Linked DNA regions of Arabidopsis thaliana. The protein of the gene in region 1 interacts with the protein of each later gene in a pairwise test. Each region holds a gene or a part of one and is shown in the gene's direction. Other genes may lie near its edges.

Region 1 (6,757 bases):
AGAGAAGCAGAGAGAGCAGCAATGGAGGGCTCACAGATCCAATTTAAGGCAGTTGTCAGTAAAATTTTTTTGTGTTTGTGCAGTGTGCAGAGACTCTGCATAGAGAAGAGAGAGAGATAGAGAGAGAGGGAGCATCTCTCTGAAATCGTTTAAAATTAAATCATGAAAATAGAAATAAAAAAGGTAATTATTTTTACTAATAATGCTCTGAGTCAACATAATTGGTGTTTTCTATGGACCAATCCTACTAGAGCATAGATTATATGTATCGAATTTCCATATTTGTTTTGAAACATAAAAATATTTACCAAATTGTTACTGTCTTTTTTATTTTTTGTTGGTCTCAATAACCAAAATATTCGGTACCAATACTCAATTCCATATTCAAAATATGTTGTGTGTTTTTTTGTTTTATGGATTAAAATAAAAGGAACCAAGTGTTTTACAAGAGATGTTTAGTTGTAAAGCCCATATAAGCCCAATAAGGATCAAATAAGAAGTTCCCCAATGTCGAGCCCAGTAGATGAAATGATAGTCCACATAATGGGATGAAGGCGAATGAGTTGATCCAAACTCTCACCAAATCGAGAACCAAGTTTGCATGCACTCACCATAGGAGTTTATTTTGTGTTTTATGTTTGACGTTCTCGGGGGTTTTGGCTATATAGAAAATAAGAAGATCAAACTAATTAACTATATTAAGAATTGAATCGCTTTCAAATTGATTTTTTTTAATTCCGTGTTTGATCAGTTTAATTTATCCTAATCAAATACTCATAACCCATATATGTGATATTAGAACATGAGGTGATGGTATACTCAACTGCTTACACCTACTAACTCCTAATTCTTAAAATTTGATTATCAATTACAATTAACGGTTTTAATTATAATGTTAAAGTCCATTTCAAATTCCAGTCACAATTTTTATTCCATCTAAAGTAATTTGATACAAATTTGATTTTGCTTCGAATATGGTTGTTTTGTCAACGGTTTTTTATATCAAATATAGTTTTTTTTCTCTTTTCAATGCAATCGGTTAGGTGGTATTTGATTTTTCCTTCAAATTGAATTTTAAAAAATTCATTTTGTTCTTGATGATACAGTTCAATTTATCTGAATTAAACAATCTTAACCATATTGAATATTAAAACATGAGTATTGTATATTTCATTATGATTACACCTCATTTACCCCCAAATCTCTTTAATCAATAAACTTGACATGATCATGAAAAAAAATCATTGTTTAAAAAAAAAAACTAAAACAATAAACAAATATTTGTTTTGATAGTTCGAATATAATACTGCTAATACATTGATGAGTATTTATAAGTAAAAAAACTTGTAGAATCTTAAAAATATATTTAGATCGTCCTTTATCAATAAAATTTGTACAAAATGCGCTTTGTAATATTTTTTCTTTACGGTTACATCTTTATATTTTATTTTTATTTTTTGCTAAAGTGAAAAAAATAGTGCATTCTTTAGAGCTTTGAAGAACGTTGGTAGATCAACAATGAGTCGTCTGGAAAACATGTCGGCAAGAGATGCTTACAGCAATGTGACTGATCTAAAAACGATAGCCAACAAATTCGTAAACGGCGAATATTAAATTGAAAAAACTAGTGAATTGAGTATCACATATCTGCGTTAACGAATTTAGTAATTTGTTGGACGAATGTAGTAATTCGTTAGATGAATGAGATCAATCAAGCCATTTAAAAAAATATATATTCATTCGCATTGTAGTTTTACACATACCACCTAACATTGACTATAAAAAATATATATGAAAAAGAAATCTGTTGCAAGGGAGACTAACCTAGCCCAACAATTTTTAAAGCTCTAGGGCAAAATAAAAATTCAGGACCTTATATTCATGTTAAAAAAAAAAATTTATATATTTGGGCATATTTATACTAAAAATTATTTTGTTTGGGTCTTTTGAAATTTTATTACCTTGAAAACAGGTCATACTTTACACTTAAATGCTAAAACATTGGGCTACATTTTCATTTTGTTATTTAAACGGACCGGTATGAGTGAGACATGCATGATGATTTAAGCTTATCTACTCAATAGGATTAGGCTGAGACTGATATGATTCCATTTTTCGAGACCGTGTGAACATAGTTCATGATAACTACTGTGTAGTAAAGTAGTAACAAGACTTCAATCTCAAGTTTTAATGGGTTTTGTTCGGTGGTTCAAGCGTCCTTATCATAAGTTTGTTTTTCTGTCTTCACTACACACATCTTAATATTGAGTTAATCCAATTAACAGTAGGCATATATCATATATCATATATCAGAACATTATTTGTGTTATGATTACCTTTTATATTATCAAAGTCCCTAGTTAATTTGGTTTGTTTACAAAGACGATTACAGTATATTATATATCCAAACAAAATTTGTAATGATGATAATCAGCCCAGTATGGTTCAATTCAATGTTATTGAAATTTGTTTGGTTTTTAAATCAGACTTGGTTATTGAGTCGGGTTGGAAAACCAAATTAACCACAGCGCATAAGGACGAAGCCAAAATTTAAAACAGTAGTTGTACATAACTTCATTTGTTTTTTATCGGAAAAATCTCACACGATAAAGTACCAGTCGACGACGGCGACTTTCTCTATGATCTGACCGTTTCGCTGAATCTCACGTGAATCTCTGATTTTCCGGGAAAATCAATTTTCTCTCATTGTCTCTCTCCCTACATTGTTTCTCATAGCCTACGAGAAATTACGTGGTAGCTTGTCGGAAACTCAACTTCCGTTGACGGAAGGCGCGAGAAAGAAGCAAGCTTAGGTTCGATCGGAAAATTCTAGGGTTCTCTAGTGTTTAAACGGTAGAGATAATCGATCTCTAATCGGATACTGTTTTGGATCTCCATTCACACCCTCTGGTGAGCTGATTTTGCTTTAGAGATCGCCGGCTTAGTTTCTCTAATGGATCCGACTTCTCGACCCGCTATTGTCATCGACAATGGAACTGGGTACGTTCAATGATAGGTTTGATTTGTTTATGCGCTTAACGTGTTCGATGAAATGCTGCAATTAGATTCATTCTTGTGTGTGTGTGTATTGCAGGTATACTAAAATGGGATTTGCGGGTAATGTAGAGCCATGTTTTATCTTACCAACAGTAGTTGCAGTAAACGAGTCGTTTTTGAATCAATCCAAGAGTTCTTCTAAGGCAACTTGGCAAACTCAGCACAACGCTGGAGTTGCTGCGGATCTCGATTTCTATATTGGAGATGAAGCTCTTGCGAAATCGCGGTCTAGTAGTACTCATAATCTTCATTATCCAATTGAGCATGGTCAAGTTGAGGATTGGGATGCTATGGAGAGATATTGGCAGCAGTGTATATTTAACTATTTGAGATGTGATCCTGAGGATCATTATTTTCTTCTTACTGAAAGTCCTCTTACTCCTCCTGAAAGTCGAGAATATACTGGAGAAATTTTGTTTGAGACTTTTAATGTTCCTGGGCTTTACATTGCTGTTAATTCAGTTCTTGCACTTGCTGCTGGCTACACAACATCAAAGGTATGTTACACATTTCTTTTCTCCAAGTATTTACGTTGTTTGCTGTGATGAAATGCTATGTATTAGCCTACTTGCTGTGATGAAATGATATGTATTTAAGTTGTTTGCTGGGATGAAATGATATGTATTTAGGCTATTAGTTGTTTAAGTTTGCTTGTAGACTGTGTGAATCCTTAAATCAAGTCATAATTATACTTTATTCAGTTTTGGTTTTAGGGACTGAGTCTCAAGAATAGGTTAGTGTAACCTCACCAACATTAGACAATTTCCGAGCTTTGTGGGATTTAGCAAATATTAAACATGTTCTCTTGTTTTTTGTTCTGTCTCGTTATGCTCGCCTCGCCTCTTAATTTGACTTACAATTCTTCTTAGTGTGAGATGACAGGGGTTGTAGTAGATGTTGGAGATGGGGCAACTCATGTTGTACCTGTTGCAGAAGGTTATGTCATCGGGAGCTGTATCAAATCGATTCCAATTGCTGGCAAAGATGTCACCCTCTTTATCCAGCAACTCATGCGGGTATGCACTAATTTATTATCTTAATATTAGTCTTGGTCTTCTTTTGTAGTTGGTTTTCATTCTTTCTCTGTGACATTTTAAGATTTTAAAGGCACAGAAGTTAAATGTGTTAAATCCAAGCTTTGAGTATGGTAGCTAGGCTTCCTGTTTATTTGTTTTAGATGTTGTGCTCATATGCTTAGAGAGGGTGTTTACTGGTTTAGATTAATGTATTAACTTCATGTAACTTCTCGTTTCAATGTTTACTGTAGGAAAGAGGTGAGAATATACCACCAGAAGATTCATTCGATGTAGCCCGTAAAGTGAAGGAAATGTACTGCTACACTTGTTCTGACATCGTAAAGGTAATCCTTAGTGGTGAATATTCAAGTCAGATAATATTAATATATACTCTTCTGAAAATTTATTACTGGCCTGTATGCTGAAATCGCTTGAAAAGAATATAGGAATATTGATAAAGAACATTCATATGGTTGCAGGAGTTTAATAAACATGACAAAGAACCAGCAAAGTATATTAAACAATGGAAAGGTGTAAAGCCAAAGACTGGTGCACCATACACTTGCGACGTGGGATATGAACGATTCCTTGGACCCGAGGTTTGTTACCATCTATCTGTTATAAAAAGTTGTAAGTTGATAAGATAACCAGAATCGGAGACTGGATATCTTTACTGGTGCATGAGTTTCTAGTATGTCAGTGAGCTGTTCATGATTTGTTATCGATTATAAGATATTTTCAGCACTCTGTTCTGATTACTGAACGGTACTGATATAAAACTATGCTCTCTCAGAAACTCAAATTAGGTAATTACTTAGTCCATTATGTTAACTGGAAGTCTGGAACTAATTCTTATCTAGTTAGAATTCAGCTGTCACTACTGGACCCATAGGAAGCTAATCTCCTTTGTATCTCTATACCAAGAGAGTAACTGGAAAGTGGAACATAATTTCCTTTATTGTTCTTGCGTTTTTGTTCTGCTATTACCGATGAGTAATGTTGAGATTTTGTGTGTTACAGGTGTTCTTTAATCCAGAGATATACAGCAATGACTTCACAACTACTTTACCAGCTGTGATAGACAAATGTATTCAGTCTGCACCAATTGACACACGAAGAGCTTTATATAAGGTTTGAAACGCCAAAGACTGGTCAGAGTTTTAAGATAATTTCCAATCCGCAATACTGATGAATTTGTGAAATCATTTCAGAATATAGTGTTGTCCGGAGGTTCAACTATGTTCAAAGATTTCGGAAGAAGGTTACAAAGGGACCTCAAGAAGATTGTTGATGCTCGTGTTCTTGCTAATAACGCTCGTACTGGTGGTGAAATTACGGTAAGAAAATTGTATGATATTCTGGAAAATAAAAGTGATAACCAGTTTTCTTAATCTGAGGTGATATTTATTTATAACCACAGTCTCAACCGGTGGAGGTTAATGTCGTGAGCCATCCTGTCCAGAGGTTTGCAGTTTGGTTTGGAGGCTCTGTGCTTTCATCAACTCCTGAGTTTTTCGCGGTATGCAAACTAGTTTAGAGATCCGCTAGTTTGAAGCTAAACCTCATGGCTTGATCGTGTTTTGAAACAAGATGTATTTTTGTTGTTGCAGAGTTGCAGAACGAAAGAGGAGTATGAGGAATATGGAGCAAGCATATGCCGCACGAATCCGGTGTTCAAGGGAATGTATTGAAGCTGCTTCATAAATAATTCACCAGCAGATTCTGTGAATGTTTGTCTGCTTTACTCCATTTCTATTACTGACTTTAGGGTTCTTGAGTACACACAGTGTAAGCTAGGCTTGATGTAGAAGTCATATTATTATTCAGACAAATTAAAGAAAAAAAGTATGTAGAAGTTTGATTTTTTTTTCATATTATTTTCTGTTAACTCAAGCATTAAATTCCACAGAAAAGTTCCGGATTATCAATCGTCTAATTGTCAAGTTATCATTTTTTATAAGCTTTTATTCCACTCAAGAGCTTAAGTTCTAGATGAAACACATGATAATTAAGTTTTGTCTACTTTATGATGTGTTTTATTTTTTATAAATTAGTTAATAATATTTAAAATTAGACATGAATAGATAAACCTTCTTTTGGGTAAAATACACAAAATCATTTTCTTAAATTACTCAAAACAAATATCTTTCATTACTCTTTGGTTTTGGAGTAATGTAAGATATTCTGTTGTTAATAATAAAGGAAAAAACTTTCATGGGAAAAAAAAATATATATATATATCTTTCATATGTTCTACAAAATACATTATTACATTTATAGCTTGTTGTATAAACGCACTAAAAAAACATGTAAAAGAAAAAAGTTTGTTAAGACAAACTGTTGACATCACGGTGAAGCTCTTCTTTCATTTTTTCTTCTTCTATCGGATAAGAAAGAGAACATCCCGAGTCTCGACGAATACGACTCTCTTCCTCCGATCTCATCAAAAACTCTTTCGCTAAAGCTCTGTTTCTGGGCGTTCAAACAATTCCGGAGTTTGTCGGATTCTCAACTTCCGTATACGGAGAAGGTCGAGCAACAAGTAGTCAAAGTAAGCAAGCGTAGTTTTTTCTCTCTGTCTTTTTCTTTCCGATCCTCAATTTCACGAGGCAATCAATTCAATTCTATTCAATTCGATGTTCTTACTCTCTCGTTGAACTGTAACTTTCCTCGTAGATCTAGTT
Region 2 (4,485 bases), on another chromosome or scaffold:
ACGGTAGATTAGTCTTTCTAGGCGACCAAAAAAATAAACTCTCTTCTCTTCTCTCTGTTTTCAAAATTCCTTTTCTTATAAAAAATGTCAGTTATATTTTGTTTTTAATATTTCTTAAAGTCGAAGCATACATAAATGATGACAAAAAAAGAAAGAAGAAGCGTACATAAATATCTACACTATAACTCCTCTTTTTAATATATTTATTTATTTATCCATTGACATGTGAGTATTTTAAATTTCTACATAATTCTTTTTTAAGATTAATAAAAGGTGTAGTATCCAAAATCTAAATCTATCGGACGAAGTATTTGACTGAAGCCAAGTCGTCTTCCAAGAATGGTGTTAAGTGGACTAAATGAACACATATATCTATGTAATGAAAGCAGAAAAATAATTACTGTGTCTCTCTGCATCTGTATTTCTGTCCCTCCAGTGGCTGCAGCAGGCAATGGATCTGCAACACTCTCCGAGTGCGCAAATCAACTTATTTTTCTTCTCCAAAATTTAACAAGTACTACTCCAGAAATATGATTCTAGTTTTTACTTATGTCCAAAAATATGATACGTGTTGTACCAGATGTTTTTCCTCCGATCCCTTAATTATATCTATGTTTACAATTTTATTTTACGTATAAAGATAAAACATCAAAAAAATAGTATCATAAGGTGATTTCCCAACAGCTTAAATTTTTCTCTAAGATCATAATCATCAAGTATAGAAGCTTCGGTTAAGTTCAACACTAAAAGTTAGATTAAAACCAAATTAGGGGCGAATATGGTTAGACCATCTCCAATGGTCACCTCTATAATTTTCTCTATTTTAGAGGTGCCTCTATTTTAGAAGCATTGTGCTCCAATGGTCACCTCTAAAATAGAGTTTCCTCAAAAATAGAAGAAAAATTAGAGATGAATTGTAGAGATCTCTATTTATAGAGACAAAAAGTAAATATTTCTATTTCTTCCTCTATTATAGAGAAAACTCTATTTTAGAGGTGACCATTTGAACATAATGCCTTTAAAATAGAGTCACCTCTATAAATAGAGGAAAATATAAAGATCACTATTAAAAATGCATTTAGATCTTTTACTAGGGTTGTTGGTAATGGTAGATTAATTACCTTGATCCTTTTTAGTATACTTATCTGTTAATGCTTGTTAACCACTTAAATTGCAAGAGAGTTGAACAAAATTGGGTAATTCATGCCACGCTTTGTAATTATTCATTGATTAGTGTTTCATTCTCTACAATTTATGGCTAATCAGCCCCCGTTAGCCGTTATGTAATGATTTATTCTAGTTTCATTGCTTGCCAACTTTAAACGATGCTTTTAATTCTTGAACTCATAAATCATTTTCTTTGTTATCTTTGTCTACTGTTTTATTCACTTGATCTTCTTAATCTTTTAAATTGCCTATCTTTTGCTATGTTTTTGTTACAATTTAAATTGACAAGTACTTAGAAAAACAAACAAAAATGATATCTCTGTTCCATCTTAGATTATTCGTTTCTTATTTCTCTTAATATATATTTTTGAACACGCTTATTTCTCTTATATATGTTGCAATATTCCTAACCTTGGTGAATTTGATTCAGTTCTCTCTGGTTGAATCCTCTGAAATCTGAATGCCTTGGAGTGTTTTCAACATGCGAGTATTTCTCACAATTACCCATCCAATCAAAGAAAAGAACCAACTTCAAGATATTGTTATATATCGCTCATGATTTGCTATAGTTACCCAAAAGAAAGAAAGCAATTAAATGTTTTTATAATATCCTTGATTACATTCCAATGTGTAACAAGTAACTTATGACAACACAAATTTCTTCTTTGGTAGAAAACAAACGGGTAAGTAAAAAGAAAAGAAAAAAAGAAGTGAGTGAGAAGAGAGTGTAAGTATAAATAAAAGAAGCACCGCCCTAATCGACCATTCACAACGATGACATTCAAACACTCTTCAGTTTCCCTTCCTTCTTGATTCGTCCTCTCCACTATTTTTCTCAATTTCTTTAATCTCTCTCTTTCTCTCTCTACTTCCTCTTCCTCTTCTTCTTCTTCTTCTTCTTCATCTATGGACCCTTTAGCTTCCCAACATCAACACAACCATCTGGAAGATAATAACCAAACCCTAACCCATAATAATCCTCAATCCGATTCCACCACCGACTCATCAACTTCCTCCGCTCAACGCAAACGCAAAGGCAAAGGTGGTCCGGACAACTCCAAGTTCCGTTACCGTGGCGTTCGACAAAGAAGCTGGGGCAAATGGGTCGCCGAGATCCGAGAGCCACGTAAGCGCACTCGCAAGTGGCTTGGTACTTTCGCAACCGCCGAAGACGCCGCACGTGCCTACGACCGGGCTGCCGTTTACCTATACGGGTCACGTGCTCAGCTCAACTTAACCCCTTCGTCTCCTTCCTCCGTCTCTTCCTCTTCCTCCTCCGTCTCCGCCGCTTCTTCTCCTTCCACCTCCTCTTCCTCCACTCAAACCCTAAGACCTCTCCTCCCTCGCCCCGCCGCCGCCACCGTAGGAGGAGGAGCCAACTTTGGTCCGTACGGTATCCCTTTTAACAACAACATCTTCCTTAATGGTGGGACCTCTATGTTATGCCCTAGTTATGGTTTTTTCCCTCAACAACAACAACAACAAAATCAGATGGTCCAGATGGGACAATTCCAACACCAACAGTATCAGAATCTTCATTCTAATACTAACAATAACAAGATTTCTGACATCGAGCTCACTGATGTTCCGGTAACTAATTCGACTTCGTTTCATCATGAGGTGGCGTTAGGGCAGGAACAAGGAGGAAGTGGGTGTAATAATAATAGTTCGATGGAGGATTTGAACTCTCTAGCTGGTTCGGTGGGTTCGAGTCTATCAATAACTCATCCACCGCCGTTGGTTGATCCGGTATGTTCTATGGGTCTGGATCCGGGTTATATGGTTGGAGATGGATCTTCGACCATTTGGCCTTTTGGAGGAGAAGAAGAATATAGTCATAATTGGGGGAGTATTTGGGATTTTATTGATCCCATCTTGGGGGAATTCTATTAATTTGTTTTTGTGGAAGATCATATTATATACGATGAGCATCCCTAAGGTCGGTCAAGAGCATTGGAGATTCATTGTTGAGAGGAATCAAAGAGATTGCATTCTATGAGGAGCTCTGCATGCAAAATTTTGGAGGATTTTTTTACTACCTATAGAGATAAATAAGAGGGTATTTTTATTATTTTTTTGAAGATTTTTATTTTCAAGGAATTCGTAAAAGAGATTACGGTTCCAATAAAGTATGTATATGTGGAAGAGAATCGGAGGAGATGGTGGAAAGTTGTATGGGAATTTTATTGGTTCAACACTTCCTTCACAGTGTGCCTACCTTAATATATAATTATTGATAGGATATGATAATTTCTGTTTGGTTGTTCGAGTTTCAGAGGTTATATATAGTTATATTTTGTTTATCTCTGAGAATATTTACACATATCTCTATTAAGTTTTAGTAATATAGGAATCATCAATGTAGAAACTATGGAGAGAAACACGTTTTCAAAAAGTGTTCATCACTGGATGCATAATTGTTGTCGTTGAGAAGATTATTTACATTATTCGAGCTGGGTATTCTCACACCAACACTTCATATTCAAGTTTACAATTTTTTGTATCGATCATCCTTCAAAGTGTTTGGACATGATTTTGTCCGAATCCTAGCTTTCTTTGACTAAAAAGAGTTCTCCGTTTCTGTATTTCCCTTGTCCTGTGATTTCTTGTTTACTATGGTGTTTATTGGAAGTTGACAAGAAAAAATCAATTTTATTTTTTGTTTATGATTATATTTCGAATCTTTTAACAGTATTATACAAAATTTAAATTAAAAATAATCCCATATCTGACTGGGTTATACATGAATATTTCAATATTAATAATTAATTTAATTTATAATAATTATATATACAAAACACAACAAAATAGATTATTATATTTTCATTTGTTATATGAAATCACAACACTTTTCTATATCTTGGTTACGTAATAATTTAAGTGCACAAATATGGGTATGGTGATTCATATACTAGATAGAGATTGACATAAACTTTTCTAGAACCGATTATTTTGGTAATCAAATCATACAATGTTGTTTATGAAAGATCACCAGACAATGTGGAATAAAGCTTAGTTTTATTGTTTTCCTCTATATCTTGGTATTATTGAAATCTGGCAAAGTAGTACCAAACCGAATCCAAAAAAAACAAAATCGAGAAACAAAGAGAGTTACTACGTACACAAAAGAAAACATTCAACCACAACAACACAACGATGAGAGAAAAAAGATCGCTAAACAAAGAAAAAGAAAAAGATACAAGATGTCCATTAGAGTTTTAAGAATATATTATTCTCTTATATTTTTCCCTTAAAAGTATTGTTGTTTCAGTTTTTTGTATAAAACAATTATAAACAATTCTCAGTTTAGAGTCTCAA

The links. The genes of interacting proteins can lie anywhere in the genome.
Region 2: the proteins of DIS1 (region 1) and ABI4 interact in a two-hybrid assay, tested with the Arabidopsis thaliana proteins (one study listed by BioGRID).

The regions. Positions count from the first base shown.
Region 1 is NC_003070.9:4,492,441-4,499,197, forward strand, and holds DIS1 (Actin-like ATPase superfamily protein), read left to right. Parts: upstream 1-2,483; 5' UTR 2,484-2,953; coding exon 2,954-3,000; intron 3,001-3,094; coding exon 3,095-3,554; intron 3,555-3,926; coding exon 3,927-4,073; intron 4,074-4,324; coding exon 4,325-4,417; intron 4,418-4,552; coding exon 4,553-4,672; intron 4,673-5,093; coding exon 5,094-5,204; intron 5,205-5,284; coding exon 5,285-5,410; intron 5,411-5,493; coding exon 5,494-5,592; intron 5,593-5,683; coding exon 5,684-5,764; 3' UTR 5,765-6,029; downstream 6,030-6,757.
Region 2 is NC_003071.7:16,795,174-16,799,658, reverse strand, and holds ABI4 (Integrase-type DNA-binding superfamily protein), read left to right. Parts: upstream 1-2,073; coding exon 2,074-3,060; 3' UTR 3,061-3,412; downstream 3,413-4,485.